Anolis sagrei: one gene and its partner. Each later gene encodes a partner of the first gene's protein in a complex. Links are inferred from orthologs where the notes say so. Each region holds a gene or a part of one and is shown on either strand. Other genes may lie near its edges.

Evidence for each region.
Region 2: TERT (region 1) and GAR1 share a complex: the UniProt entries of both Homo sapiens proteins name them as parts of the telomerase holoenzyme complex. The link is inferred for Anolis sagrei from reciprocal best matches to the Homo sapiens genes TERT and GAR1.

What each region holds. Positions count from the first base shown.
Region 1 is NC_090024.1:105,810,240-105,817,250, forward strand, and holds the start of TERT (telomerase reverse transcriptase), read right to left. Parts: upstream 3,009-7,011; 5' UTR 3,008-3,008; coding exon 2,786-3,007; intron 281-2,785; coding exon 1-280. UniProt on the Homo sapiens protein: Telomerase is a ribonucleoprotein enzyme essential for the replication of chromosome termini in most eukaryotes. Active in progenitor and cancer cells. Inactive, or very low activity, in normal somatic cells.
Region 2 is NC_090025.1:31,125,926-31,133,792, reverse strand, and holds the start of GAR1 (H/ACA ribonucleoprotein complex subunit 1), read right to left. Parts: upstream 3,007-7,867; 5' UTR 2,952-3,006; exon of another isoform or gene 2,898-2,951; intron 1-2,897. UniProt on the Homo sapiens protein: Required for ribosome biogenesis and telomere maintenance. Part of the H/ACA small nucleolar ribonucleoprotein (H/ACA snoRNP) complex, which catalyzes pseudouridylation of rRNA.

The DNA of each region.
Region 1 (7,011 bases):
GGTAACAACAACTAGGTGGCACTAACATAAAGAGAGAGCAGTGCTCCAATATATACATGAAGACATCATCCCCAACTCTGTTCAGAATCAACTCCCAGAGAATACTCTGAAAAATGGTTTCTGTGGTATAATTGGTAAAGTAGCTGTAGACATTTGGCATGCCGGGCAACGGGAGATGGTTTTCATCCAATAGAGAATAGCCAAAGGCCAAGACATTCCTTTTGTTCTTTTCACAGATTCGCTGAACGACTCTTGCAACGACATCTTGCTGACTAGAAATCTGGAAGTGAACAAAAACGTTATGACTATATTTCATTCATTGTCATTTAGGATTTCGCGGGATTGGCATTAAAATTTTGGGGCACAGGTCCTAAATTATGTATTGCAAGTGTGGCCCACAACATGATGTCGGGCTGCAGCTCCCATCCTCCCTTGCTTTTGCCTAGGCTGGTTGGGACTGATGGGATCTGCAGTCCAGTAGACCACAAATAATAACAACTTTATTTTTGTACCCCACCTCCATCTCTCCAAAGGGACATCTAGTCCAACCTCCTGCTATGCAGGAAATGTACAATCAAAGTACCCCTGACAGATGGCCATCCAGCCTGTTTAAAAGCCTCCAACAGAGTAGCTTCTTTAAGAAAGATCTAAAAACTTGGCTATTCCTATGTGCCCTTGGAGAGTGACCGTTCAACCCATTTTGTTTGTTTCCATCTACAATTGTCCTCATGATGCACTGTCAACCTGTCCTTAATAAAGCCAAACCCCACTGCCCCCCTGACTCCTCCCTCATAAATATACTTTTATTCCTATCTCACCCAGGGTTTCAACTTTTTAACATCTTATCTCGTGCATTTGACCTGCCCTTTCTGTTGAATTTTATTATGTTACTAGCCGTCCCCTACCACGCGTTACTGTGGTCCAGTCTGTGTATATGTATTTTGTGTGTATGTCCCCGGTGGTGCAATGGGTTAAAACACTGAGCTGCTGAGCTTGTTGACCAAAAAATCGCAGGTTCGATTCCAGGGAGCGGTGTGAGCTTCCACTGTCAGCCCTAGCTTCTGCCAACCTAGCAGTTCGAAAACATGCAAATGTGAGTAGATCAATAGGTACCGCTCCAGCGGGAAGATAACGGTGCTCCATGCGGTCATGCTGGCCACATGACCTTGGAGGTGTCTATGGACAACGCTGGTTCTTTGGCTTAGAAATGGAGATGAGCACTACACCCCAGAGTCAGACATGACTGGACTTAATGTCAGGGGACAACCTTTTTTTAAAACATTTGTGTATATGTGTGTTTGCATGTTTTGCACATGCATTGTAATTTTTATTTTGTGGCTTTTTAAGTCTTTTCTACAAATCACAAACCAGGCCCAAACTTGGCACACAGAGTACTCATGACCCACTCTACATCCTGATGCAGTTCTAAGGGGGAATGGACCATGGATGATGGGCCTTGCAGTACCTTTACTCACTGAAACCACTGCGACCCTCATCCTGTGACTGATGAAGACCAAACTTGGCTCACAGAGCCTCCATCCTGGTGTAGTTTGGAGGAGGATGGACCACAGATGATGGGACTCGCAGTACCTTCACTAACTTCCTGAAACCACTGTATATAAATAACTGATAAAGACCAAGCTTGATACACAATTACTTTCTCAAATAACCCAGGACACGCAGGGTCCCCAAGCTAGTCTGTAATAAACCCCACTTGCCTAGTTTCCAACAGACCTCACAACCTCTGAGGATACCTGGGCGAAATGTCAGGAGAGAATGCTTATTTATTTATTATTTAAACTTATATGCCGCCACTCCCCTGGGCCTCGGAGCAGTTTACAAGAATAGTTAAAATCTAACAAAATTTAAAAGCAGTTTAAAACAATTTAAAAACGGCAATATCAAAAATCAAAGGCCTGTCGAAATAGGTATGTCTTGCATGCCCTGTGGAAAACTGATAAGTCCCACAAGGCACGGACTTCGGGTGGCAGAGTATTCCAGAGCGATGGTGCCACTGCTGTGAAGGCTCTGCTTCTGGTTGCTGTTAGACACAAGGTCTTGACACTGGGGACTTCCAATAGATCTTGGTCCTCAGAACAGAGGGATCTCTGGGGTTGGTAGGGGGTGAGGTACATCGGCCCCAAACCATGCAAGGCCTTAAAGGTGAGTACCATCACTTTGAAAGTGATCCGGTGCTCAATTGGTAACCAATGCAGCTGTTGTGAGTTTGGTGTTATGTGGCATCTCATCGGAGTTCCCGCAAGAAGCTGAGCAGCTGCATTTTGTACCAACTTGAGCTTCCGGATCACCGACAGAGGAAGGCCAATGTAGAGGGCGTTACAGTAGTCCAGTCTTGAGATGACCGTGGCCTGGATCACCGTAGCTAGGTCGTCGCTGGACAGGTAAGGGGCCAGCCGTCTAGCCTGCCGTAGGTGAAAGAAGGCAGTTCTGCTAACGGTGGATACCTGGGCCTCCATCGTCAGCAGAGGGTCCAAAAGGACTCCCAGACTCTTTACCAATGATGATGGACGTAGTGCCTCGCCATCCAGGGTTGGCAGCTGGATGTCCCCACTGCCCATACAACTCAGAAAACGCGCTTGTATTAAAATGTTTGGGGGCAGCTTGTGCTCCCCTGAAGGAGCCAGCAGCCTTCCAGGGCAAGTTATAAGCGCCTCAGTGTGCATACTATGGAGTATTTTTGCGGGAGAGGTCCCTGTGTGTCTCCCCAGGCAGTGCTGAGGAGAAGCGCCCACGGCAAGGGGCGGGCCTGGAGAGGGCTGTTTACCTGCTGGAAGCTCAAGCGAGGCGGGGGCGCCTTCCCCCCGCGGGGCCTGCCCACCAGGCAGCGCTCCACCAGCACTCGGAAGCACTTGGGATCCCCCTCCTGGACCAGCGGGGCCCCCGAGGCTTCGGCCTCCTTCTCCTGGAGGCGCCTCACGAAGGCCTCCAAGGGCAGCACCTCCTCGAAGCAGCCCCGCAGCAGCCTGCACACCCGCGGGCGCCCCATGGCCTGGCCAAGCCCCGCCCCCTCTAAGCCCCGCCCCCTCTCGGGCTTGGAAAAAGCGCGGGAAACGCGGCGCCCTCTGTTTTCTTCAGGCAGGAGTCATTGAAGTACGACGCCCGCATATGCAAGGGTGAGGGATGCCGAGGGGCGCAGTCCAGCAATCCTTAAAGGGGCAGCATCCTTTCTGCTCCTACTTCAGAGCGATTTCTTTTCTTTTATTTACCAGCAATCTCAGTGTCAGGTATGAGTGAAAGTGACAGATATATGGGATACACATTCTGCCCACCATTCCAATGTCTCTGGTTTTCTTCATTTTGGAAATTTGGTGTGAATGTTTCAATTGGTCACCTTGATTAGCATTGATTAGCCCAGGAGTTTTCAAGGTGTAGCTTCTTACTGCCTGGGGGAATCCTTTGTTGAAAGGTGATTAGCTGTCCCTGATGGTTTCTTGTCTGGAGTTCTCCTGTTTTTGAAAGTTGTTCTCCATTTACTGTTATTATTATTATTATTATTTATTTACTTTGCTTATATACTGCTGTATCTCAAGCCCGAAGGCGACTCACGGCGGTTCACAAACAGTAAAAACAGTAGAAACAGCAGTGGTTCCATACAACATATAACAATTGACTTAACACATTATCCATAAATTACCAATAAGCAATTACAATGCACAATTATTACAAAAAACAACCGTACCCAATCTTCTCATCATCCAAGCGTAGTCCAGGTTCGTCGTCCATTGTTCCATTCCTATGTTCCATTACCAGATTGCACTAAATTACTCAAACGCCTGCACAAACATCCAGGTCTTCACCTTTTTGCGGAATACCATTAGAGATGGTGCTAGTCTAATGTCCGTAGGAAGGGCGTTCCACAGCCAAGGAGCCACCACCGAGAAGGCCCTATCTCTCGTCCCCGCCAGCCGAGCTTGAGAAGCAGGTGGGATCGAGAGCCCACCTCCCCGGAAGAGCCCTCCCCGGAAGAGCCCACCTCCCCGGAGAGCCCACCTCCCCGGAAGATCTCAAACTCCTCGTGGGTTCATAGGCAGAGATGCGGTCAGATAGGTAGCTAGGGCCGGAACCGTTTAGGGCTTTAAAGGCCAACGCCAGCACTTTGAATTCAGCCCGGTAGCAGATTGGTAGCCAGTGGAGTTGGCGCAACAGGGGGGTTGTATGCTCCCTGCGCTCCGCTCCTGTTAAAATCATGGCTGCCGAGCGTTGGACTAGTTGGAGCTTCCGAGCTGTCTTCAAAGGCAACCCCACGTAGAGAGCGTTGCAGTAGTCTAAACGGGATGTAACCAGAGCATGGACTACCGTGGCCAAGTCAGACTTCCCAAGGTATGGGCGCAGCTGGCGCACAAGCTTTAGCTGTGCAAATGCTCCCCTGGTCACCGCTGAAACCTGGGGTTCCCACCTGTTATGATTTTAGAGTTTTTAATACTAGTAGCCAGATTTTGTTTTGAGCACAATTGCTGTCATTTGCTTTTGCTGGCAGCTAATAAAGCTGTTTTCAGGGAGATTCAACTCATGGGTTGAATGCCGCCATTCCAAGCCTGAAGGGGACTTCTGAGAATGTGAAAAGAGAGGCCCTTTCAGCAGGCCTCATTATATGAGGCCCTTTCAGCAGGCCTCATATAATCCAGTTCAAAGAATGTAGTCTGGATTACTTTTTTTATATAATCTGGATTATATGGCAATGTAGAAGTGTCCTAAATTTGGGAATTCCCCCCAAATAGCAGAGTCCTTAAAAATACAAAAATACTTAGGGCCCTTTTACATTGCCATATAATCCATGTTATCAAAAACAGATAATCCAGATTAAATGCTCTGAACTGGATTATATGAGGCCCCTTCTATACTGCTATATAAAATACAGATCATCTTTTTGAACTGGATTATATGGCAGTATATACGCATATAATCCAGTTCAAAACAGATAATCTGGATTTATATGGCAGTGTAGATCCAGCCTCGGGTCCCTTCCACACTGCCCCTATATCCCAGGATGTGATCCCAGATTATTTTATCCCAAATTATCTGGCAGTAGAGACTCATAATCCAGTTTAAATCAGATCATCTGGGATCAGATCATGGAATATATGGCAGCGTAGAAGGGGTCTCAGAGGAATGAATGGGCAAAAGGTCATAGAGTCACTCAAGGAGCCCCTATGATAGACAGATAACCCTGTTTATTGATTAGTCCACTGACCAAACCAACAATAAAAGACAAAAAAAAAAACCAAAAATAGACACTAACCACTATCCTAAAACTCCTGTAACAGTTAACTAAAATAAATTAAAACATAGGAAAACTAGATTGAATTAAAATACATTTGGTAAAATAGATTGAATTACAAGATGAAAGCAAAGGGAGTAAAGTGAGGAGTGTTAAAGAGTTTGTTGGAGAATCTAGGCAGGGCCTACACTGCCATATAATCCAGATTATCAAATCAAATAATCCAGTTCAAATTTGATAATCTGGATTTTATATGGTTAAAAACACATACGCATATTGAATACATTTATTATAGAGACCCTAAGAACCTAAATACCTGAAAGCAGTTGGTTCCCAATCTTACTCCTTTAGATATTTTGGACTTCCACTTCCAGAAGTCCCAGCTACCTTGGCCAGCTGTCAGGAATTATGGACCACAAAGTCCAAAATATTTGGAGGACCAAAGTTTGGGAAGTGCTGCTCCAGATCCCATCTGATCTTAGAAGCTAAGGAAGGGATGTGAGGCTGTTAACAAATGCACTATTTCAGAGGAAGGAAGTGGCAAAACCACCTGAAGAAACCCTATGAAATTCAAGGAGTCGGCATAAGTCGTGGCTTTGAAAGGGGTTCGGATCGTAAACACACTGGTTTGTAATCTTTCCACGTGCTATATGTTTTGTCTTATGTCTGTCGTAACAGGCAGTTTTTTTTCTTTTATTTAATTTTAGTTGTTAAGTTATAATTCGTGTTTATATGTTGGGTTGTTTAAATTTTGTTAATATGGATGTATTGTATTCAGGCATTGAACATTTGCCTTTTATGTTTGGAATCTGCCCTGAGTCCCTTTGGGGAGATAAGAGTGGAATGTAAATAAAGTTATTATTGTTATTATTATTATTATTATTATTATTATTATTATCATCAATATTCCCTACACATAAACCAAAATTATTGGGGTAGGAGAGTAATCGCAACTTGCCTAGATCTGCTTCATAGATGAAATGAAATTGGGAAAAGGTCACATAGTGTGGGGTCAAGACACGTAATCTGAAGGTATTGCACCACCTGACATCCGCCGGGAAGTAGCAGCCAATAGTGAAAGGACCAAGGCAGAGACATCTCCAGCTCATCCCGTTTGGGTATCAGCCAGCACGTCAACAATTTAAATCAAGACATAGTTTTCTTAGATCTACAGAGGCACTCGCTGCAACACCCCAGCAAGCGAGAGTCCAAAGGTGGCAGGCCCAAACCCAGCACCTCAATCCATGGGTGATACCAGATGAGAGACTCCCCCCTGGGCACACAGAAGACTGGGCGACTTGGAAGGCGCTGAACAGACTGCGCTCTGGCACCACGAGAAGCAGAGCCAATCTTAAGAAATGGGGCTACAGGGTGGAATCCACGGTATGCAAGTGCGGAGAAGAACAAACCACTGACCACCTGCTGCAATGCACCCTGAGCCCTGCCACATGCACAATGGAGGACCTTCTTGCGGCAACACCAGAGGCACTCCAAGTGGCCAGATACTGGTCAAAGGACATTTAACCAACTACCAAGTTTGCAAAATCTGTGTTTTTGTTTTGTTTTTGTTTTTAATCTGTGTGTTTGTTTTGTTCTGTTAGAACTGTAATACAATGGTATGGTTGCTGATGACACGATAAATAAATAAAATAAATAACCTAAACTTTTTTGCGAATCTCTCTTGACTATTTTCCAGAACTCAGCAGCTTCATAACTGTAGAATGGATCAAATGTATGTATCAGAATGCATCATTTCTCAACTTCAACTTGAA
Region 2 (7,867 bases), on another chromosome or scaffold:
TAGCACTCCAGTATTCCCAGCAGCTTGGAATTAAATTAAAACATAGATATGTAGATATGGCAGTGCGGATCCAGCTTTTGCTAGGTATCAAGATTGGGTGTACAATGGAATTTGTTGTATTGAAATACCAAAACGTTAGAAAGAGGAGTGCTTTCACTTCGTTTCTGAATTGCGGCAAGCCTGATCTATCTATCCATCTATCACAATGGGCAATATTTGTTTAGAGAGATTTTGCCTTTGCCTTCCTCTATGGGTTTCTATGGCCAAGTGGGAATTTTTATTCTGATTAAATCATTGTAACAACATTCATTCTTTGAGATGAATGTATTTACTTAGCCTTCACATCATCACCATGGCTATTATTAGTTGTTAAAGGGGGTATACTCTTTGGGATGACCTGTGTTTGCATATATATGTGGACATTGTTTCCAAAAGGTACTGAACCCATTGTTGGCTATGCTTGGAATATTGTGTACATATCAAAACAACAAAATCACCTCAGTGCAGGGTTCGAGAAATTGCATTTTATAGCAAAAGAATGAACATCCTCAGCATGTGTTCAGGTGGATTTGGTACCTTTTGGAAATAAACTCCATATATGTGTATGTATATATAAACACAGACAAATGTTGTTTTTGTTGTGTGCCTTCAGTCATGTAGGGGTAGACAAATAGAGTACACCAGGCATAAACAAACTTTGGCCATCCAGGTGTTTTGGACTTCAACTCATACAATTCCTAACAGCCTATTAGCTGTTAGGAACTGTGGGATTTGGAATCCAAAACACCTAGAGGGCCAAGGTTGGCCCAGACCTGGTGTAGATGCAGCTCAATGCAGTTAAAATACATTATATGTGTTTACAGTACACTGACCATTTCAAACTGCATCATATGGTAGTGTAGATCCAGCCTTAGAGAGCATGTCTTGCCCAAGTCCTCCCAATGGGTTTCCAGGGCTGAGCTGGGACTCAAACCCTGATCTCTTGGGTTGAAATGTGTGTCTATACCAGGGGTCCTCAAACTAAGGCTCGGGGGGCAGATACAGCTCTTCAAGGTCCTTTACCCGGCCCTCTCTCAGGGTCAACCTAAGTCTTAAACAACTTGAAAACACACAACAACAACAACAACCCAATCTCATCAGTGAAAAGCAGGCCCACACTTCCCATTGAAGGAGCCCCCGGTGATGCTGTGGGTTAAACCCCTGTGCCGGCAGGACTAAAGACTGACAGGTCGCAGGTTCGAACCCAGGGAGAGGCAGATGAGTTCCCCCTACCAGCTCCAGCTCCTCATGCGGGGACATGAGAGAAGCCTCCCACAAGGATGATAAAAGCATCAAATCATTCGAGCATCCCCTGGGCAACGTCCTTGCAGACGGCCAATTCTCTCACACCAGAAGCGACTTGCAGTTTCTCAAGTCGCTCCTGACACAACAAAAAAAAAAAACACCTTCCCATTGAAATACTAATAAGTTTATATTTCGTTAAAATTGTTCATCATTTTAATTATTGTATTTATTGCTTGTGTTTTTTGCACTACAAATAAGATATGTGCAGTGTGCATAGGAATTCATTCATCTTTTTTCCAAATTATAATCTGGCCCTCTGTTTAAAAAGTTTGAGAACTCCTGGTCTACAGAGTGGTATTAATTCTGTTTGGCACCACTTTGGCCCTTTCTACACAGCTGAGTAAAATCCCACATTTTCTTCTTTGAACTGGAATATATGTCAGTGTGGACTCAAATAACCCAGTTCAAAGCAGATAGTGTGGGATTTTCAGCCACGATATTCTGGGTTATATGACTGTGTGGAAGGGCCCTTTAATTCCCGTGGCTCAATGCTGTGGAATCATGGGAGTTGTAGTTTTACAAGGTCCTTAGCCTTAGAGGCCATGATGAAGTACTTTGGCCACATCATGAGAAGAAAGGAAAGCTTAGCGAAGACAATTATGCTGGGGGAAAAGGAAGGAAAAAGGAAGAGGGCTGACCAAGGACAAGTTGGATGGATGGGATCCTTGAAGTGACTGGATTGACTTTGAAGGAGCTGGGGGTGGTGACGGCCGACAGGGAGCTCTGGCATGGACTGGTTCATGAGGTCACGAAGAGCCAGAAACGAATGAACAACAGCAATAGCCTTCTCTGTCAAAGAGAGCAGCCCTCCCACACAGTCCTATAATAAAGAATATAATGGCAGAAAATCCCACAATATCTGCTTTGACTGGGGGCCCTTCCACACAGCCCTATATCCCAGAATAGCAAGGCAGAAAACCCCCACAATATCTGCTTTGAACTGGGTTATCCGAATCCACACTCAGATAATATGGGATTTAAACTACAAGCGAGGAGATTCCATCTGAACATGAGGAAGAACTTCCTGACTGTGAGAGCCGTTCAGCAGTGGAACTCTCTGCCCCGGAGTGTGGTGGAGGCTCCTTCTTTGGAAGCTTTTAAGCAGAGGCTGGATGGCCATCTGTCAGGGGTGATTTGAATGCAACGTTCCTGCTTGTTGGCAGAATGGGGTTGGACTGGATGGCCCATGAGGTCTCTTCCAACTCTTTGATTCTATGATTTTCTGCCCCAATATTCTGGGATATAGGGCTGTGTGGAAGGGCCCTGGGTTATCTGAGTCCACACTGCCATATATTCCAGTTCAAAGCAGATAATCTGGGATTTTGCACATCTGTGTGGAAGAGGCCTAAACTGCAAACTCCAGCATTCCACAGCATTGGGCCATGGAAGTTGAAGTGGTGTCAAACCACATTAATTCAACAATGTGGACGCACCTCTAGACTGGATCCAGCTAAATAGTTTAAAGTAAGGAATGGCAAAATTCCGTAGAAATCAATGAATATATGACACCACCCCCCCACCCCCCCCCCCAAAAAAATACCCTTTTCTGGTACCTTGAGCACAAAGATCCCCTTTGGCTTCCCACGTGGTCCCCAACACACACGCACCGGCCGCTTCTGATGACGTCAACGAACAGCGTCGCTTTCCCGCTGCCCGGCCAATCCCAAGCTGGGTTCTCGACACGCTCCTTCCGCTTGTCGGCGAGTCCTCTCTCCCTTTGCGAATCTATTGGCTAGAATGATCAAAGAGGTAAGGTCTTTTGAGAGCGACTGTCACTTCCGGCTCTCGTTCCACTTTCAGCCAGGATTATATTCCCAAAGTTTGGCAGACTGAGAAGTTTTTAAGTCAATGTTGCCTTAAAAACAAACAAAACAAAAACCCAGCTAGGGTTGCAACAAATCAGAAATGAGTTGCTGACACTAAACAGTAAGCCCACTTTTTAAAGGCAAGTCCTCAAAAGCATTAATAACTACAAATATTGCTTCATTTAGCATCAGAACGTTAGAATGCAAGAGTTGCAAAGTATTTAATTCAGTCCAGGCATGTTTCAGATTATCCAACAAGACGAGCCAAGAGTGTGATGCAGCAGCATAAAAAGCCAATGCCATTTTAGTCAATGCCATTGATTAGATTAATTATTACTGTGTAATGCAAGTAAAAGCAAATAAAGCTTAGGTAGAAATAAGGTTAAAATTGCTGCCTTTTTTGGATTTCAGAAAAAAAATTATATAGCACTATAATGTCTGGATCAGTGTTTCTCAACCTGGGGGTCGGGACCCCTGCCAGGTCACGAGAGGGTGTTAAAGGGGTTGCCAAAAACCATCAGGAAACACAGTATTTTCAGTTGGTCATGGGGATTCTGGGTGAGAATTCTGTCATTGGTGAGGTTTAGAATGCTCTTGAATTGTAGGTGAACTATAAATCCTAGCAACTACAACTCCCAAATGACAAGGTCTATTTTTCTCCAAACTCCACCAGTGTTCCCATTTGGGCATATTGAATATTCATGCCAAGTTTGGTCCAGATCCGTCGTTGTGTGAGTCCACAGTTCTCTCTGGATGTAGGTGAACTACAACTCCAAAACTCAAGGTCAATGCCCATCAAACCTTTCCAATATTTTCTGTTGGTCATGGTAATTCTGTGTGCCAAGTGTGGTTCAATTCCATTGTTGGTGGAGTTCAGAATGCTCTTTGTTTATAGGTGAACTATAAATCCCAGCAACTACAGCTCACAAATGACAAAATCAACCCCCCCCCCCCCCCCCCAGTATTCAAATTTGGGCATATTGAGTATTTGTGCCCAATTTGGTCCAGTGAATGAGAATACATCCTGCATATCAGATATTTACATTATGATTCCTGACAGTAGCAAAATGACAGTTATGAAGTAGCAATAGTTTTACGGTTGGGGTCACCACAACATGAGGTGACCCCAGCATTAAGGGGTTTCGGCAATAGGAAGGTTGAGAACCACTGGTCTAGATCAAGCATGGGCAAACTTTAGGCGGTTAGGAATTGTGGGAGTTGAAGTCCAAAACACCTGGAGGAAGGCCAAAGTTTGCCCATGCCGAGACAGACGTAGAGACGTAGTTTGAAATGGGATCCGCATGGATGCTTCCAAGGATATGTTGAAATCCAAAACATCTGGAGGGCTTCCAAATCTGTGTCACTCAATAATGTAAGACTAGTCAAACACATGGTTGATGGTCATGATGCCTCCCGGTGGCTCAATGGGTTAAACTCTTGTGCCGGCAGGAATGCTGACCAAAAGTTCGCATCCAGGGAGCGGGGTGAGCTCCCATCTGTTAGCTGCAGCTTCTCACATGAGGACATGAGACAAGCCTCCTACAAGGATGGTAACACATCAAAACATCAAGGCATCTCCTGGGCCAACAAGCAGTAAACAGAGTTGTCAAAAATATAGCCAGTTTAAGGTTAAGAAAACACAAATGCCAGGAGAGTATTATCAATCACATAGATAAGATAGCTGTGAAGAACAAAAATGGGGGAGGGCTGCTGGTAGATTCTATGGTCAAATACCTCCAAAACACCAGGTGCCTAATTAATCAGCTATGTCACAGCTGCCAGGATCATCACAATCTCTACCTCATTTTTGTTAAGAAAAGGATGGTGGCATATCTTCAACATCCTCCATTTCGTGCAAAGCTCCCTGCTTTCTCCTATCATCAGGAGATGCACATGCCTGGACATCTGGCTCCTCTGTTCTCAATCATCTGACTCCAGAAGGTGAGTTATGACAGTTTCCAACCTGCAATGACTCTAAAATAGGGTTTTCTTGGCAAAGTTGGTTCACAGGAGATTTACCTTTGCCCTCAATCACAGTCGGTTCCTACAGCTAAGTGAGGATTCAAACCCTGGTTTTCAGAGTCATTCCACATAAACTTGTCTGATTTTCTGGGTTGCTGTGAGTTTTTCCAGGCTGTATGGCCATGTTCCAGGAGCATTGTCTTCTGACGTTTCACCCTCATCTACGGCAGGCATTCTCAGAGGTTTGTTGGAAATTAGGCAAGTGGGTTTTCTGTATCTGTGGATTGTCCAGTGCTGGAGAAAGAACTCTTGTCTGTTTGAGGCAAGTGCAAATGTTGTAATTGATCACCTTGATTTGCATTGAATAGCATTGCAGCTTCAAAGCTTGGTTGCTTCCTGCCTGGGGAATCCTTTGTTGGGAGGTGATTAGCTGACCCTGATTGTTTCTTGTCTGGAATCCCCCTTTTTTTGAGTGTTGTTCTTTATTTACTGTCCTGATTTTAAAGTTTTTTAAATACTGGTAGCCAAATTTTGTTTACTTTCCAATGTATAGGGTGGTAGGAATTGGAAAGTGGGGGCTTTGTGGGTGTGTTCAGCTAAAATTGGTCACAGAGCCCTCTTCGGCCCCTCGTGCCTAATGCTCAAAGATCTGTCTTCCATGCAGATGTTTGGGGACATTAAGAGCAAGCCTAATGTAAACACTCACATCCTGCCTCCTGTTTTAGTGCTGCACGTTTCTCAGGCAAATGCCAAAACAAGTGATTCAAGATCTAATCTTGACCCAGCATCTATATTTGTAATTGATACCATTCAATTTTAACATCCCACAAGCGCTGCCATAATAATAATAATAACAACAACAAATAAATAAATAAAAATAACCTACTTTTTTGCTACTTTTCTATCTTATATTATTCCCCCACTTTCGCTGTAACTATATAAAATTCAATAAAAATTTATAATAAATAAATAAATAAATAAAAACAACCTAGGCTACCAAACAGCAAGAAATTCACCAAAAATCTCTCACTTGTTGTACATGGATGATCTAAAGCTTTATGGAAAATCAGAAACTGAAATCGAGTCACTGACCAACAGTCAGAATCTTCAGCACTGACATCAGTATGGAATTTGGCCTAGATGAATGTGCCACAGTGGCATTAAAGAAAGGGAAAATTACACAAAGCGAGGGCATAGAGATGCCAAACGGACAAACCATAAAGTACAACAAGCCTGAAGCCTATAAATATCTGGGCATACTACAACTGGACAATATCAAGCATGGTCAAGTGAAAAATTTGGTCAGCAAAGAATATATCCAAAGAGTCAGAAAGGTTTTGAAGAGCAAATTAAATGGCGGAAATACGATCAAGGCTCTCAACACCTGGGCCATCCCCATCATTAGATACACTGGTGGGATTGTGAACTGGACAGAAGCAGAGTTGAATGATCTGGACAGAAAAACAAGAAAACTGATGACAATCCACTACGCATTACACCCGCATAGTGACATTGACAGACTTTACTTGTCCAGAAAATCAGGAGGCAGAGGGCTTCTGCAAGTGAAACAAATGGTAGAAACACGCCCTGGCAGATTATGTGAAAGGCAGTCAAGAACCAACGTTGAGGGAAGTCAATAGTAGTAAACTGCTTAAAGTGCAAAAGACAAAGAGGGAATACCGTAAAAACACAATCCAGAGCAGAAGAGAAAACTGGCAAAAGAAGGCTCTCCATGGACAGTTCCTGGGAAAAATTGAGAGCCAAATTGACAAAGAAAAAACATGGCTGTGGCTCACAAATGGAACTCTGAAAAAGGAGACAGAGAGCCTGATTCTGGCAGCCCAAGAACAAGCCATTAGAACCAATGCCATCAAAGCCAGAATTGAAAAGTCGACAACAGATCCCAAATATAGACTCTGCAAGGAAGCAGATGAAACAATAGATCACATCCTGAGCTGCTGCAAGAAGATCGCACAGACAGGCTACAAGCAGAGGCACAACACCATTGCTCAGATGATTCATTGAAACTTGTGCCACAAATACCATCTGCCTGCGACAAAGAACTGGTGGGATCACAAGCCGAAAAAAGTTACAGAAAATGAACACACCAAACTCCTCTGGGACTTCCGGATTCAGACAGACAGAGTTTTGGAGCATAATACTCCTGACCTCACAATCGTGTTAAAAAGCAAAGTATGGATCATTGATGTCGCAATCCCAGGTAACAGCAGGATTGCAGAAAAACAACTGGAAAAGCTGACACGATATGAGGATTTAAAAATTGAACTGCAAAGACTCTTGCACAAACCAGTAAAGGTGGTCCAGTGGTGTTCGGCACACTGGGTGCAGTGCCTAAAGACCTTGGCCTGCACTTAAACACAATTGGCGCTGACAAAATTATCATCTGCCAGCTGCAGAAGGCCACCTTACTGGGATCTGCACGCATTATTTGCCGATACATCACACAGTCCTAGACACTTGGGAAGTGTCCGACATGTGATCCAATTCAACAGCCAGCAGAGTGTCTGCTGTGGACTCATCTTGTTGTGTTTCAAATTATTATTATTATTATTATTATTATTATTATTATTTACCTATATGCCGCTTTTCTCTCACAATTCGGACCCAAAGCAGCTTCCAACATTTTAAAATAAGATCCCTAGGGAGGTGAAGCCTACTAAGATTGTCTTGGATTTTCCTCTCTTTCTATAAAACCACTGGGCTGTAAAGAAAGTGGTATAAAATATATCCCTCGT